Linked DNA regions of Cricetulus griseus. The protein of the gene in region 1 interacts with the protein of each later gene in a pairwise test. Links are inferred from orthologs where the notes say so. Each region holds a gene or a part of one and is shown on either strand. Other genes may lie near its edges.

Region 1 (3,500 bases):
TGTGTATGTGGAGTTTTGAGGTGGGTCTCACTATGTAGCTCTGACTAGCCTTGCACTCACAGACCCTCCCTCCTCTACTTCCAGAGTGCTTGGATTTAAGGTGTGTGCTAACTCATTTAGCTGATGGCCTTTTCTTTTGTAATAGTACATAATATAAGTTCTTTTGAAGATTAGACTTTTTATGGATCAGAAAGTACTGACTACTGTAAGTAACATAACTAAGTAACTTCTAAATAATTCATCTTATTCTGCTAGTCCTGGCAGTTGTCAGTCATAGAATGGGGTGATATTCTTCCCCCAGATTCTGGCATACTTTGAGAGACCTTACTAAATTATTTCCATCATATGTAAGCTTATTTAGAATACTTTTCAATAAAAGTGTGTGTGTGTGTGTGTGTGTGTGTGTGTGTGTGTGTGTGTGTGTGTGTATACACCCCAGTTCTCTTATATGTACACATATGTGCGTGTGGTGCTGGGTATGGAATCCAAGGCCTCGGGCATGCTAGGCAGTCACTACCACTTAGCTATATCCTCAGCTTGTAAAATGATTCTGTGTTACTAAGTAATACGTAATATAGTGTGTTTTTTCTTCGGTTTGTGTTGTTAGGTGATGGGACTAGAATGGCTGATTCAACAACAATGTTATCCATAAGTGATCCAATTCACATGGTGCTGATCAAAATAGACATATTTGGTGAGACTACTTTAGTGGCATCCTATTTTCTGGAATGGAGATCAGTTTTGGGCTCAGAAAATGGAGTGACCAATCTGACTGTGGAACTTATGGGTGTAGGTATGATGATTAATGTCACTTTCACCTTTTTATAAATACTGTTTGTTGGCAAATTTATTTTATATCAGTCAAAAGGGCTTTACAGGAGGGAGACTTGTAAAACAGGCTTTCATCAGAATTTCAGTGGTAAGTTGGCTTAGGGAATAGCTGGAAGAATAATGCCACCATAGTTCTTCAAAGTCAGTCTTTCTTATCCTGAGGAATTTTTTTTTTTTTTAAGATTTATTTATTTATTATGTATACAGTGTTCTGCCTGCATGTATGCCTACATGCCAGAAGAGGGCATCAGATCTCATTATAGATAGCTGTGAGCCACCATTGGGTTGCTGGGAATTGAACTCAGGACCTCTGGAAGTGTGCTTTTACTCTGAACCATCTCTCCAGCTCCAAAGAATGTTTTTTGTCTGCAAAATGAATGGAAATTCTGGAGGTTCAACATTTTGTTGTTGTTGTTGTTAAATATAAGGTTATAAAGAAAAGCAGGATTCTTTTAAACATATGAATAGGTGTATGCATAAGCTTCTTTCTGGTATGTCCTAGAGTACAGCACATCACCGTCGTCACCACACTGGTTCTTGGAGGGGGTGGGTTATGGGTTTTTTGTTTGTTTTGTTGGTTATGGCCAGAATCTCACAGTGTATTTTGGGATGTCCTTGAGTTCCCTCTACAGAACAGTTGGCCTGCCTCATGCTAGGATTATTGGCATGTACCACCGTGCCAGCTTCATACCAGTGGTTATTGACGAATGAGTAGATGTTCCTCTAGTTCGTTATTATGGATAGGTAAAATTTGAAAGAGTTGCTAACTTGGTCAGTGTCAGTAGCAATGAATAGTAAAGGACAGAGGTTGTACATTATCTTACCATTATTTCCTTGGATTTTGCATACTGCCTACTATGTAATATGTATTAGCTCATAAAAAGAGGAAAACAAAAACCCACTAATGTTTTATCTATAACTTATAATGTAATTGTATTGGTATTACAACTTATTCATACAAGTTAAACTTGGGGATAGCATGATGGCTCAGTGGGTAAGATGATACACAAGTAGAAGGAACTGAGTTTGTCTCTCCAGCACCCACAAAAAAAGCTGGGCATGGTGGCATGCATCTGTAATCCCAGGTCTTGATGGCGGTAGAGACATGCAGATCCTGGGATCTCACTGCCCAGCCAATCTAGCTAATTGGTGAGCTCCAGGTCAGTGAGAGACTTTTGTCTTAAAAGCTAAGGCTGAGAGCAATAGTGGAAGTGGCCCCACATCAGCCTCTGGTCTCCACACTCTTGTGAATGGGCAAAGCCATTTACATAATGTGCATGCACTCATACAAAGAAAAAGAAAAAAAGCTAAATTTGGTCAGTTGACAGCAAAGCATTCAGAATTTAAGTCAGACTCAAAATATGTCTGTACTTAAATAAAAAGAACTAGTATTCTCTTTACACATGAGATTTGTTTTTTAAAGTGATTTCTGGTTCTTTGTCTTCAAAAATAGACCTGGGCCTGGAGAGATGGCTGAATGGTTGAGAACACTGGCTGCTTTTCTAGAGCACCCATATAGTGGCTGACTGCTGACTGTTCGTTAACTGCAGTCCCTGGGGATCTGGCCTCCAAGGACACTGCATGCTTTAGGTGCATAGACAGATAGACAGACAGACGGATGGATGGATAGATAGATGCAAATAGGTCTAACATGATAATCATAACAATGACCTGGAAATAAGTATATACCGATTTGGTTAAGAAATATTGAATAGTTTTATATACATATATGTTTGTATGTTGTATATATAGATCATATATAGTTGAAAACTTGATAAGAAAGGGTAGATGGAATTACTGCATATGGTAAAAAGTTGGGATACTTTCTGATTTTCATGGAGACAGAATGGGCTCTTAACAATTGCTTTGGTTTTGTACTTAATGTAGCATCTAGTTGGAATTATATACATTAAATTATATATTATATTAAAGATATAAATTTAAGAATTCTAAATCCACAAGGTCAGAAAAGTTCCTTAAAATGTTTTTAGAAAGCTTTAGTAACAAAGAAAAAAATCAATTTGATTTGGTTCATTTTAAAAAGTTTGATTCATTTTTAATATGAATATTAAGTGTAATGTTGAGTATTATAACTCTACTTAAGTCATAAAGTACATCACTCCTAAATTATGTTGGTTAGACTTTGGTTGACTAAATACACATAGTCCTGAAAGTTCTTTGTTTTAAATAAGGTTTAAGTAGAGTTTTAAATATTTGTATTTATAGGAACAGAATCAAAAGTTTCTGTGGGAATTTTAAATATAAAACTTGAGATGTACCCACCACTCAACCAAACACTGTCTCAAGAAGTAGTGAACACACAGGTAAGCCAGTTTTTCTTTTGTACATTGCTTTAGTTGTAGGAAATATTTACCCTAGAAAGTATTGTCTTTTTAGAAAAAACAATAACATTGCTGTTTAGATTTGTACTAAAAGAATTAACCAAAGGGATGGGGAAAGAACTATTAAGCTGGGACTGGTGATACAGTTAGTGGTAGTGCTTGCTAAGCATGTACAAGGCCCTGGCTTTTAGCAAACTCCAGGACTGGAATGTGTGTATGTGGGGGGGTGTCACAAAGTGGAAGGGCATTGGAGTAGCAACATGGGGTGATATTTTAAAAGGCTTTATTGCATTTGCATGTGTTTTGTGTGCATTGGGGGTGGGTGAT
Region 2 (3,500 bases), on another chromosome or scaffold:
TGTTTTTGAGACAGGGTCTCCTGTAGCCCAGGTTAGTCTCTCACTTCCTACATAGCCAGGGATGACCTTTGAACTCCTGGTCCTCCCGCCTGGGAGCTGGGATTACAGGTGTTTGCCCCCACACCCAGTTACAGGTGCTGCCCCAGCCCCAGGGCTTTCCAAATTGGAGCAGGCTGAAGCCTGACCACCTCAGAGGCTGTCCTGGGTCAGAGCTGGATGTCCTAGGTGCAACTCAAAGCGTCCTTGCTTTCACCAGCTCCCAGGCCTTTCTGAAGCTGTGGTACAGGGACCGTATTTGGGTGGGCAGCACAGAGGCCATGCCCCGTCCATATCCTGACACGAGCTGTAATCCCAGCACTCAGGAGGTAGAGGAAGGAGGGTTAGAAGTTCAAGATCTGAGCTGGAGAGACGGCTCTGCTGCTAAGATCACTGGCTGCTCTTCCAGAGGACGGCGTGTGTGTGTGTGTGTGTGTGTGTGTGTGTGTGTGTGTGTGTGTGTGTGTGTGAATTCCCAGCACCCACATGGCAGCTCACAACTGTCTCCAGTTCCAGGGGATCTGACACCCTCACACTAATGCACATCAAATAAAGTTAAATTAAAATTAAAAAAAAAAAAGTTCAAGATCATCCTTGGCTGCATAGGGAATCTGAGGCCGTCAGGGGACCCTGTCTGGGGTGGGGGTGGGGTGGACTAGGAAGAGGAGGAGGTAGGAGAAGAAAAAATGCAAAACACACATTTTAGCCCCTGATGTTCCCACAGCCTCGGTCACCTGGCCAGCTCCTGTCTCCGCTTCTCAAACAAGTCTCTATGATCTTGAGTCCTGTGGTGAAGGTGGCCCCGGGCATGTTGGACCCACTGTTTGTGACAGCTCAGGTCAAGTTTCTCTCAGGTGAGCAGCAAATCCTAGCAAACACCTGGTGGAGCTTCTGCCCTAGGCTATATCCACGGATCCTTGCCTGGGATCCTTTTCCTGTCTCACACACACACACACACACACACACACACACACACACACACACCCCTGCATACATATGGACATGCACAGAACACCATGTGGAGGAACTGCAAGGACGTGTGATATAGGAAGAGTGTGTCCACGAGGTCCTGGATCGTGAGGCTTTCACCGAGGCCACAGCCAGGCCTGCCAGTTCCTCCCTCCCATGTCACAGTTCAGGCACCCGGGGGAGGGGGAGAGAGAAAGAGAGAGAGAGAGAGAGAGAGAGAGAGAGAGAGAGAGAGAGAGAGAGAACATTCCATGGCTACCCAGGTGCTCTCTCTGAGGCACAGCCCTCCCCTGAAGCACCAATCTTCTTGCTGCAGAACAGACTGTTTTCATGCCTCTAGTTGGCTCTACACTGAGGGCCTTCACTCATCTGAGGGCTCCTAAGTCTTTATCCTCAAGGCTCCTCTGTGCCAAGTTCACTCATAATTTTCAGGTCTCCTGGGTTCAAGGCCAGGGAGGAAGGACTGCCCCAGAGGCACTGGTAGCTACCAGCAGGGTAAGGACTAAAGCTAGGTCTCCAGGGGGTTAGGTTGCCATGGTGACTTCTTCCTTTTCGCAGAATACAAGAAAAGATGAGGGAGTTTGGGACCCAAAAGAGATGTATCCCAACCTCAGGGTGCTGGCAACAGCTATGGAGAGGCCTGGCTACAGAAGGAGGAAGTGCCCCTCCCAGCCCTCTGCACCCTAGCATTAAGTGCCACTATCAAACCAGGACTGCCTGCCTGGGTTCGGAGAGGCCCCCAAGTCTCCTCATGTCAGGAGGTTCAGGCCTCCAATGCCTTGGGTTTAAATGAAGACATAAGTCTATTCAGACTTTAGCAGGTGTTGCAAGGCAGAGCAAGAGCTCAGACATTAAAGTGCTTTCTTTGCAAGCTCCAGGACCTAAGTTTGATCCCATGCTTGTAATCCTAGTGCCAGAGTGACAGACAGGGACAGGTGGAACCCCAGGGCTGGCTGGCTGGCCAGCTTAGCCTATGTGGTGAGTGAGCTCCAAGCCAGAGAGACTGACTCTGTCTCTACACAAGGTGAATGGTCCCTGAGGAATGACACTGGGTATCATCTGGTATGCACATACTCATGCACACATCATACTTTCTCTCTCTTTCTCGTATGCACGCGCACGCACAGGCACACACACACACACACACACACACTTTAAAACTGGACAAAATGCCAACATTTTATGGAGATTTCTGTACAACGTGTGAAATCCATTCTCCCTTACTCGTTGGGTCTGGGGGCTCCTGAAGACCCCTGGATATAGACTTTGCTTTTGTGTTCCTAGGGGAGCTGGAGAATGCCCAGAGCACCCTGCAGCGCTGCCTGGAGCTGGACCCCAACTTTGTAGACGCCCACCTCCTCATGTCCCAGATCTACCTGGCTCAGGGCAACTTTGCCATGTGTTCCCATTGTCTAGAGCTGGGTGTCAGCCACAACTTCCAGGTGGGAGCCGTCTACACTGTGTGGTCCATCCCATACTCCTTTCCAGACCATTGCTGGGGCAGGGGGAGCACAAAAAGGCATAGGAAACCCCCCCCACCCTTTGCTAACCCACAGGCAGGGCAGCCTCATTGGCCCCCCGGGAGAAGCTCCCCAGGCTGTGAGCTCACCCCCAGCTCTGCTCTGCCTCTCTTAGGTCCGAGACCACCCCCTCTACCACTTCATCAAAGCCAAGGCCCTCAACAAGACTGGTGAATATGCTGAGGCCATAAAGACCTTGAAAATGATCATAAAGCTACCCACCATAAAGGCAGAAGACAGCAGGAAGCCCCGAGGCCCTTCCGTTCAGCCCAGCGAGCGGGCGTCAATCCTGCTGGAGCTAGTAGAGGCCCTCCGACTGAATGGGGAGCTGGTGAGAAATGCCTGGCATGGGGCTGGAAATTAGGTCAGTGAATAAAGAGCTTGCTGTGAGAGCATCAGGACTAGAGTTCGAAACGCCAGAACCTACAATACATCTGAGTATTAGGTTCAGTGAGAGAGGCCTGCCTCGATGAGTAGAGTGGAGAACAACTGAGAGAGATACCCAGTGTCAACATCTTCTCTCCTCATGCAAACATGAGTGTGCATCTACACACACTTGCCTCCTCCCCCCAATGGGAACACACACACACACACACACACACACACACACACACACACACACACCACAACACACCAAACACAGACACACCACAAAGAAACGCTTTGCTCCCATCCCCTGGGCTGGGAGCAAAGCTCTGGAGGCCCCCCAGGAGATCAGCTTGGGAGCCCAGCTCTTATTTTGCCCCAACTTCACTTGGGCTATGATTTGAGCCCTTTTTGCTTGTTGGTTTGCTTTGGTTGAGATGGAGTCTTTTACGTAGCCCTGGCTGTCCTGGAACAAGCAGAGGTGGATACTCTGTCTATGCAGAACCAGGAGCTGCCCCTTCCAAAGTCAGCAGATAGCCAGTCATTCCTAAAGCCACGAGTCGGTATGTCAGGCACCAGGAAGGGAGCTGGGTGAAGGACAACAAGCCC
Region 3 (3,500 bases), on another chromosome or scaffold:
CTTTCAGGAACACTGGTGCAGTCGATGGTCAAAAACCTCGAGAAGCAGCTTGAAACGCCAGTAAAGAAGCCCTCTGGAGGGGTCAGTGTGTTCTTAAGGCCCAACACTGCCCTTCAGAAGTCTTCCACACCTGCAAGGAAGTCTCAGGTAGGACACTTGAAGATGACCCTACATCCCATAGAGAGACAGATCCAAATTTGAGGGCTGTGGGGTGAAGATTGGGGACAGACTGAGCAAGTATCAGCTTTGACATGTCCCCAGAAGGACATTGCATGTGACTTTGTCTCCTTTGTCCCTATATATGTGGAAAGATGACCACTTTGGATTTTTTTTTTTCTGTGCCCATGTTAATGTTAAAAAGCCCTTTGGTTCATTATGTAAGTACTTTCTGAGGAGGTTTGTTTCCTAATCTGCCTCTGAGAGCCTCCTGTTGTGGCTGCTATTTTCCCACACTGTCTCTTCCATACTGGGCCCCTCCCCAGCAATTGCTTCACAGAAGACCTCAACAGAGGGCAGGATATAAAGCACCGGCCACCATCGGAGTGTTGCCACACAGCACATCAGATGGGGAAATGTAGATAGCCGTGTTCCAACTATTCAAGATGGCGGGTGCCTCACCACTCACTGCTTATCTTGGTGGCCTGGCCTCCCTGACGCTGTAGCTGCCATGGGATTTGCAGACTTGGTACTCACATGAGTGCCAGACTCTTTTTGCCATTGTCTCCCTCCATTAGGGACCAACTGCCACTTTCTGCTATTTTCTAAGGTAGGCAAGTATAGAACTCTTTGCACTTGGTTCCTTTCAACCAAAGAGGTCCATCTGGAGATGATGAGGTTGTTGGCCTTAGCAACAGAAGTAGCAGGGAGCAGTTGACTTTCTGGTGCCGCTGATGGAACCTGGCAAGCAGGCACTGTCACTGAGCAGTCCCCATACCCCCTCACTTGTGTTTTATATTAGCACTCCTACATACCTTTTCTCATCACATGGTATGCTTGGCTTCTCTTGGAGTTTATGTAAAGAGCCCCAGTTTCTGTTCTCTACTGAGAAAGAGCACCAAATAGTGTAAATTAGACAGGTGCTGTCTAGGCCCTGGATGGTATCTTCTTTTCATGCCAGGATGAAATACATGGAATGTTATATGTCAAAGCCCAGGCAGCCAGCAGAGGAGCTGCAAACCCTGGATGGGAACTCCTGGCCTTGGCTATTACTGTGGTGTAGATGGAGCCTGATCTCTCAGAAGATGTTAGTTTGACCATTAGCTGCAGCTCAGACCTATTCCAGGATATCCTGTTGACCCCATCTCCTCTCAAGTTCAGTGTTTCCCAGGTAGCTCTGAGCACCAGTCTGTGAGGAAAGGTTCTTTTGACTAAGGTGCATTCATGTCAAGAGTGTCAAAAGTTAAAGGCTCTGGGCTTCCAGTTCTGTCAATGTGAGGAATGAAAAATCTGCACATAATATTACCCCATCTACCTTTTTATTACCTACTGATTCAGTCTCATCACAGAGCGCATGTAAACATCTCCAAGCTCTCCCTCTTCTCTGTTGTGAGTGAGCACTAATAGTCTAATGCAGATACATGATGCTGTGAACAAGCACACTGCCCAGGTTTAAATGCAAACGTGAGCAGCCAGATCTACCTGTAAACCTCCCCGAGATTCTTAGTAGGATACCAGACCTATTTCCATCACTGTGGCCCTGAGTCTCTGGAGCAGGTTTTCAGAGGCCAGGAGCTTGGAAGGCAGGACCATTTCTATCTTGGATGCTGCTGTCATCTTCCTGCATTTATCAAAATCTATTTTCTTCTCTTTTACCTCTGCAGCTTTCTGAGGATGAGAGTGACTTGGAGATCTCGTCCTTGGAAGATCTCTCCCAGGACCTGGACCAGAGAGGAAAGCCAAAGCCCTTGTCACACTCAAAGCTCCCAGAAAAGTTGGATGCCAGCCCTTGGAGCTCTGGGCGACCCAGGGTTCCTGGCTGGTGATTCTGCCTAGGGTTGCCAGAGGGCTTAGCCTTGTTGCCTGGCTGGGCTTGCCCCAATGGAAGAGGCTGTTAGGCCTCCTGCTCCCACCAGCAGCCAAGAAGCCTTTGCCATGAGCAGAGCAGGAGACAGACAGGACCTCTACCCATTCTCTCTGTAAGGACTGCTACCTCAGAGGTCTGGGTCCTGCTGCTATCCCAAAAGGCTGGGTCCTGGAGCAGTGTCTTGTGTAAATGGGAGAAGGGTTGTAACAGGACCTCCAAGTGTTTCTTCCATGATTCCCATGTCCAGCCCAGACTTAAAGGAGTTGCTGTTTATAAGTCTTTTGTAATCTGCAGGTCACCATGGAGATGGGTCCTGAGTCAGTTATCAGTTACCTACTTCATGCTGGACTCTCTAGCCTTTTGTAATCTATAGGTCACCATGAAGATGGGTCCTGAGTCAGTTTCTCTACTCTGTGTTTGACTTTCACTACAGAGTTGGGGTGCAGACAGAGGCAGGTGGTGTGAAGTGTTTGCTGCCAGGCCAAACATCGTATTCTAGTGCTGGACAGTCAAGTGTTAGGGAGCATGGGAGAGGCTGCCTGTCCTAATTTCATTCCTGTTGCTGTGGTAAATCACTGTCCAAGAGCAACACAGAGGAGGAAAGGCTTTGATAGGTTTACAATTCCAGGTCACAGCCCATCACTGAGGGAGGCAGAGGCTGGAACCTGAAGGTAGGCCTGCTTGCTATTACCACGCAGCATTACCTCTGACCAAGGAATTCACTTCAGAGCCTAAGAAGCATAGCAGGAGCCATGGTGGGTACTGCTTGCTAACCGGCTCACAGCTGTGTATACTCAGCTTTTTTTATACAGTTCAGGACCGCCTGCCTAGGGATGGAACTGCTCACAGTGGGCCGGGTTCCCCTACATCCATGACAGTCGGGACAGTTCCTCACAGACATTGCCCTCAAAGCATTTACTCCACCGAAGCTCTGCTCTTGGACAGTTCTCAGTTGTGACACATTGATATTTAGAACTAACCAGGATACCATTCAACCAAGACCAGGATGACCTTGGAGAAGTTCCCAGACACCTGGTGGAGCTTGTTCATGGGCAGGAACAATTTGGCCAAAGCCTCTTGTCCCCATAGAATCACAAATTTAACTTTTGAAACCAGTTCTGACATTGGGTTTTTATATATAGTTTTTTTTTTTTTTTCCAGACAGGGTTTCTCTGTGTAGTTCTGGCTGTCCTGGAACTCTCTCTCTCTATAGAGCAGGCTGGCCTTGAACTCAGTGGATCTGCTTGCCTCTGTCTCCTGAGTGCTGAGATTAAAGGTGTGCATGGTGGCACATGGCTGAGATTATTTTTTTAGTGTGAAAACATTTATTTATTATAGTGAGCATTTAAATAAAAAATGATGTATGCACCTCTCTGTTGTTCTTCATTGTTTTTTTTTTTTTTTCAGGCTTTGTGGACTGAGGATGGTAACGAGGGAGTAAAGCAGCTTCCATCTAAATAGTGCGGGTTTAGGGCCT
Region 4 (3,026 bases), on another chromosome or scaffold:
GTGAGGACAGGGGTTGGGGACATGCCAGAATTAGGACAGGGTGGGAGTGAGAAAGGTGTTCGGGTCGAGAGTAGCACATTAAGTAGTAAATTGGTTAAGGGGAAAGAGCTGTCTGGCAGAAGGCAGCTGTACTGCATTAGAAGTAGTTAGAAAGAGGACTTTTAAAGATGGATCTAGACACTAGTCGCACCTTTTATTATTAAAACTGTTAAAGATTAAAAAAAATCATGAGTATGAACTTTTGCCTGTGTGTATGTCTGTGCACCAAGTATGTGCTTGGCACCTGCAGAAGCCAGAAGAAGGTACCAGATTCCCTGGAACTGGGGTTACACACAGTCATGAGCTGCTATGTAGGTTCTAGAAACTAAACCCAGGTCCTCTGTGGAATAATATCTAAGCCTGTCCAGCTTTAAATTTTAAAACTGAATTTATATATTTGATGGAGGAGGGAGTGTATGCGAATGTCACAGAGGACAATTTGCAGGAGTCAGCTCTCTCATTTCACCTTGTGGGTCCTGGGGATCAAACTCAATGTCATCAACCTGGACAGAAAATACTTTTCATTTGCTAAGCCATCTCCCTGGCCCATGAGTTCCACTTTCATTACTTACTCCTTGTGGTCATTTTGAACAGTGGAATATGTCTGGAATATTCCTGGTTTTCAGTTTCCAGATCTATCAAGTAAAGATGATCGTGCCTTATTTGTTCATTGTGTTATAGAAAGGGTGCCACTGTGTGAGAGGTCATATCCCCCAATGAGTCCTTATTGGATGTAGGCTCTTATCAGTAGAGTAGCTTGATGTTGACCTTGATGGTTGAACACACACTTGGTGTTGGATCCCATGTCACTTAGTTGCATTGCTCAGGAATGCATCATTAAATGGAAACAAAAGTTGATCTTGTGATTGAATCCAGAATTAGGTTGGCTCCTGGTCGTGGATCTGAAATAACAAAGTTGAATTCCATGTCACAATAGTAATTAGGACCCCATCTTCTGTTTCCATATCTGCAGGTTCAAGCAAGTGCCAACAGAAAATATTTAGAAAGGAGCTGTATCTGCACTGAACACATACCGACTTTCCGTCTCTCCCTGCTTCCCAAACAATTCAGCAGAGCTGCTATTCACAGAGCATCTCAGTGTAGCAGATAAAGTATAATCTAGAGGTGACTAGAGCATATGAGAGATTGCAGTATACATATATTATGACACTTATGATAGGGACTTGAGCATCAACATGCTTTGATATACCATGGATGTCCTAGTACCAGTTTTCAGGGGATGCAAAGGGACGACTATCATCTTTCCTGAAAGAGACTGGTCCACATTTAAGTCCATATTTCTTCTACTGATCTATAGGTGGAGTATGACTAAGCCTTAACCCAGTAAGAGATTTGCGAGTGGGTCTGGACAGATGACTCTGTGGTTAAGAGTGTCTACTGCTCTTGCAGAGGCCCTGAGTTCAGATCCCATCACCCATGTTGGGCAGCCCATAGCCATCTGTAGCTCCACCTGCAGGAGAATCTGATGCCCACTTCTGGCCTCTGTGGGCACTGCACTCATGTGCACACATACACGTACACACAGAGAGTTGAAAATGACGAAAATGGAAGAGATTTGCTGAAGATCACCCAGTTATACCTATGTCCTTTGTCTAATAAGTTCGTTCACGTTAGAGCAACCTGAGGACTTGACTTGGCTGAGAAGAGGAAGAGACTAAAAATTCTTAGCATGTAGAAAGATGGCAACTGATCTATTTCTAGCTTGAATGGAAAGTGTGGGGTTAGAAGTTCAGAGCCTGGGGAATCCTTGCCAACCGTGGTTCCTTCTTCCTCAGTTGGTGGCCGTGTAGACTTCGAAGACTTTGTGGAGCTGATGACCCCCAAATTGCTTGCAGAGACAGCAGGGATGATTGGTGTCCAGGAGATGCGAGATGCCTTTAAGGAGGTGAGTTAATAACTCCGTAATGCTGAGAGAGAGGAGAGGGAGACCTCAAGGAGCTAGTTTTATTAGTTCACACCATGGGCATTGCCCCATCAAAATCGACTAGTTGGGATTAGATTCAGAAGGCAGGAGAATCATATTCCAAACACTTGGCAATATGTATTCATCTTATTTGACCCTGACGTAAACTCTTAAGAGTAAGCACACATTTATTGCCTTTGTACATATGAAGAAACTAAGGAGCAAGGGTTGCAAATGATATCTAGTACCCCATGTTCCCTACATGCTGGGGCCTGTAATCTTGGTTCCTGCAACAGGAAGCAAGAATCTGAGAATTTGATATTTCCAGAAGCTCAGAGTTGTTCTAGGAAAGGAAGCTTCCAGTACAGAGGCTGTAGGATAGGAAGATGTTTGCTGGACATAACAAGAAATGGACAAGCTCTCCAGGGGCTGGGGGTGTGGCTCAGTGGCCTAGTACTTGCCTAGAATCTCCCAGTGAGGGGCTGGGGGCGTGGCTCAGTGGTAGAGCCCCTGCCTAGAATCCCCCAGTGAGGGGCTGGGGGCGTGGCTCAGTGGTGGAGCCCCTGCCCAGAATCCCCCAGTGAGGGGCTGGGGGCGTTGCTCAGTGGTAGAGCCCCTGCCTAGAATCCTCCAGCAAGGGGCATGGTTTTGCAGTAGAATAGTGCTTTAATGTATGCAAGGCCTTGGTCCCTCTTTGGCTTTCATGTCACATGTATTCTGTTATCCCCTTCTCTCTTTCTTCTTCCCTTAAATTCTCCTCTTTCCCTCTCATTGTCAGCTTTCTAGTTTCATGAAATACCCATGCATACACATACATACTCAAATTTAAATCTATGTTCCATGTAGAAGAGAGAACATCTGACTTTTTTGTCTTTCTGCATTTGGCTTATTTTGTTTAATACAATGGTTTCCAGTACTGCCCACCTTCTTACAAATGTCATAATTAAAATTATTGTTATGGCCGGGCGTTGGTGGCGCACGCCTTTAATCCCAGCACTCGGGAGGCAGAGGCAGGCGGATCTCTGTGAGTTCGAGGCCAGCCTGGTCTCCAGAGCGAGTGCCA

What was found.
Region 2: the proteins of Cep76 (region 1) and Ttc21a interact in a two-hybrid assay, tested with the Homo sapiens proteins (2 studies listed by BioGRID). The two-hybrid records come from large-scale screens. The link is inferred for Cricetulus griseus from reciprocal best matches to the Homo sapiens genes CEP76 and TTC21A.
Region 3: the proteins of Cep76 (region 1) and Dzip1l interact in binary tests that used the Homo sapiens proteins (3 or more experiments, as listed by UniProt). The link is inferred for Cricetulus griseus from reciprocal best matches to the Homo sapiens genes CEP76 and DZIP1L.
Region 4: the proteins of Cep76 (region 1) and Cabp5 interact in binary tests that used the Homo sapiens proteins (3 or more experiments, as listed by UniProt). The link is inferred for Cricetulus griseus from reciprocal best matches to the Homo sapiens genes CEP76 and CABP5.

What each region holds. Positions count from the first base shown.
Region 1 is NC_048595.1:171,774,427-171,777,926, forward strand, and holds part of Cep76 (centrosomal protein of 76 kDa), read left to right. Parts: intron 1-607; coding exon 608-793; intron 794-3,057; coding exon 3,058-3,155; intron 3,156-3,500. UniProt on the Homo sapiens protein: Centrosomal protein involved in regulation of centriole duplication. Required to limit centriole duplication to once per cell cycle by preventing centriole reduplication.
Region 2 is NC_048597.1:227,045,489-227,048,988, forward strand, and holds part of Ttc21a (tetratricopeptide repeat protein 21A), read left to right. Parts: intron 1-760; coding exon 761-890; intron 891-2,289; coding exon 2,290-2,447; intron 2,448-2,640; coding exon 2,641-2,856; intron 2,857-3,500. UniProt on the Homo sapiens protein: Intraflagellar transport (IFT)-associated protein required for spermatogenesis. Required for sperm flagellar formation and intraflagellar transport.
Region 3 is NC_048597.1:208,067,856-208,071,355, forward strand, and holds the end of Dzip1l (zinc finger protein DZIP1L), read left to right. Parts: intron 1-7; coding exon 8-147; intron 148-1,820; coding exon 1,821-1,982; 3' UTR 1,983-3,180; downstream 3,181-3,500. UniProt on the Homo sapiens protein: Involved in primary cilium formation. Probably acts as a transition zone protein required for localization of PKD1/PC1 and PKD2/PC2 to the ciliary membrane.
Region 4 is NC_048602.1:26,482,334-26,485,359, reverse strand, and holds part of Cabp5 (calcium-binding protein 5), read left to right. Parts: intron 1-1,835; coding exon 1,836-1,945; intron 1,946-3,026. UniProt on the Homo sapiens protein: Inhibits calcium-dependent inactivation of L-type calcium channel and shifts voltage dependence of activation to more depolarized membrane potentials. Involved in the transmission of light signals.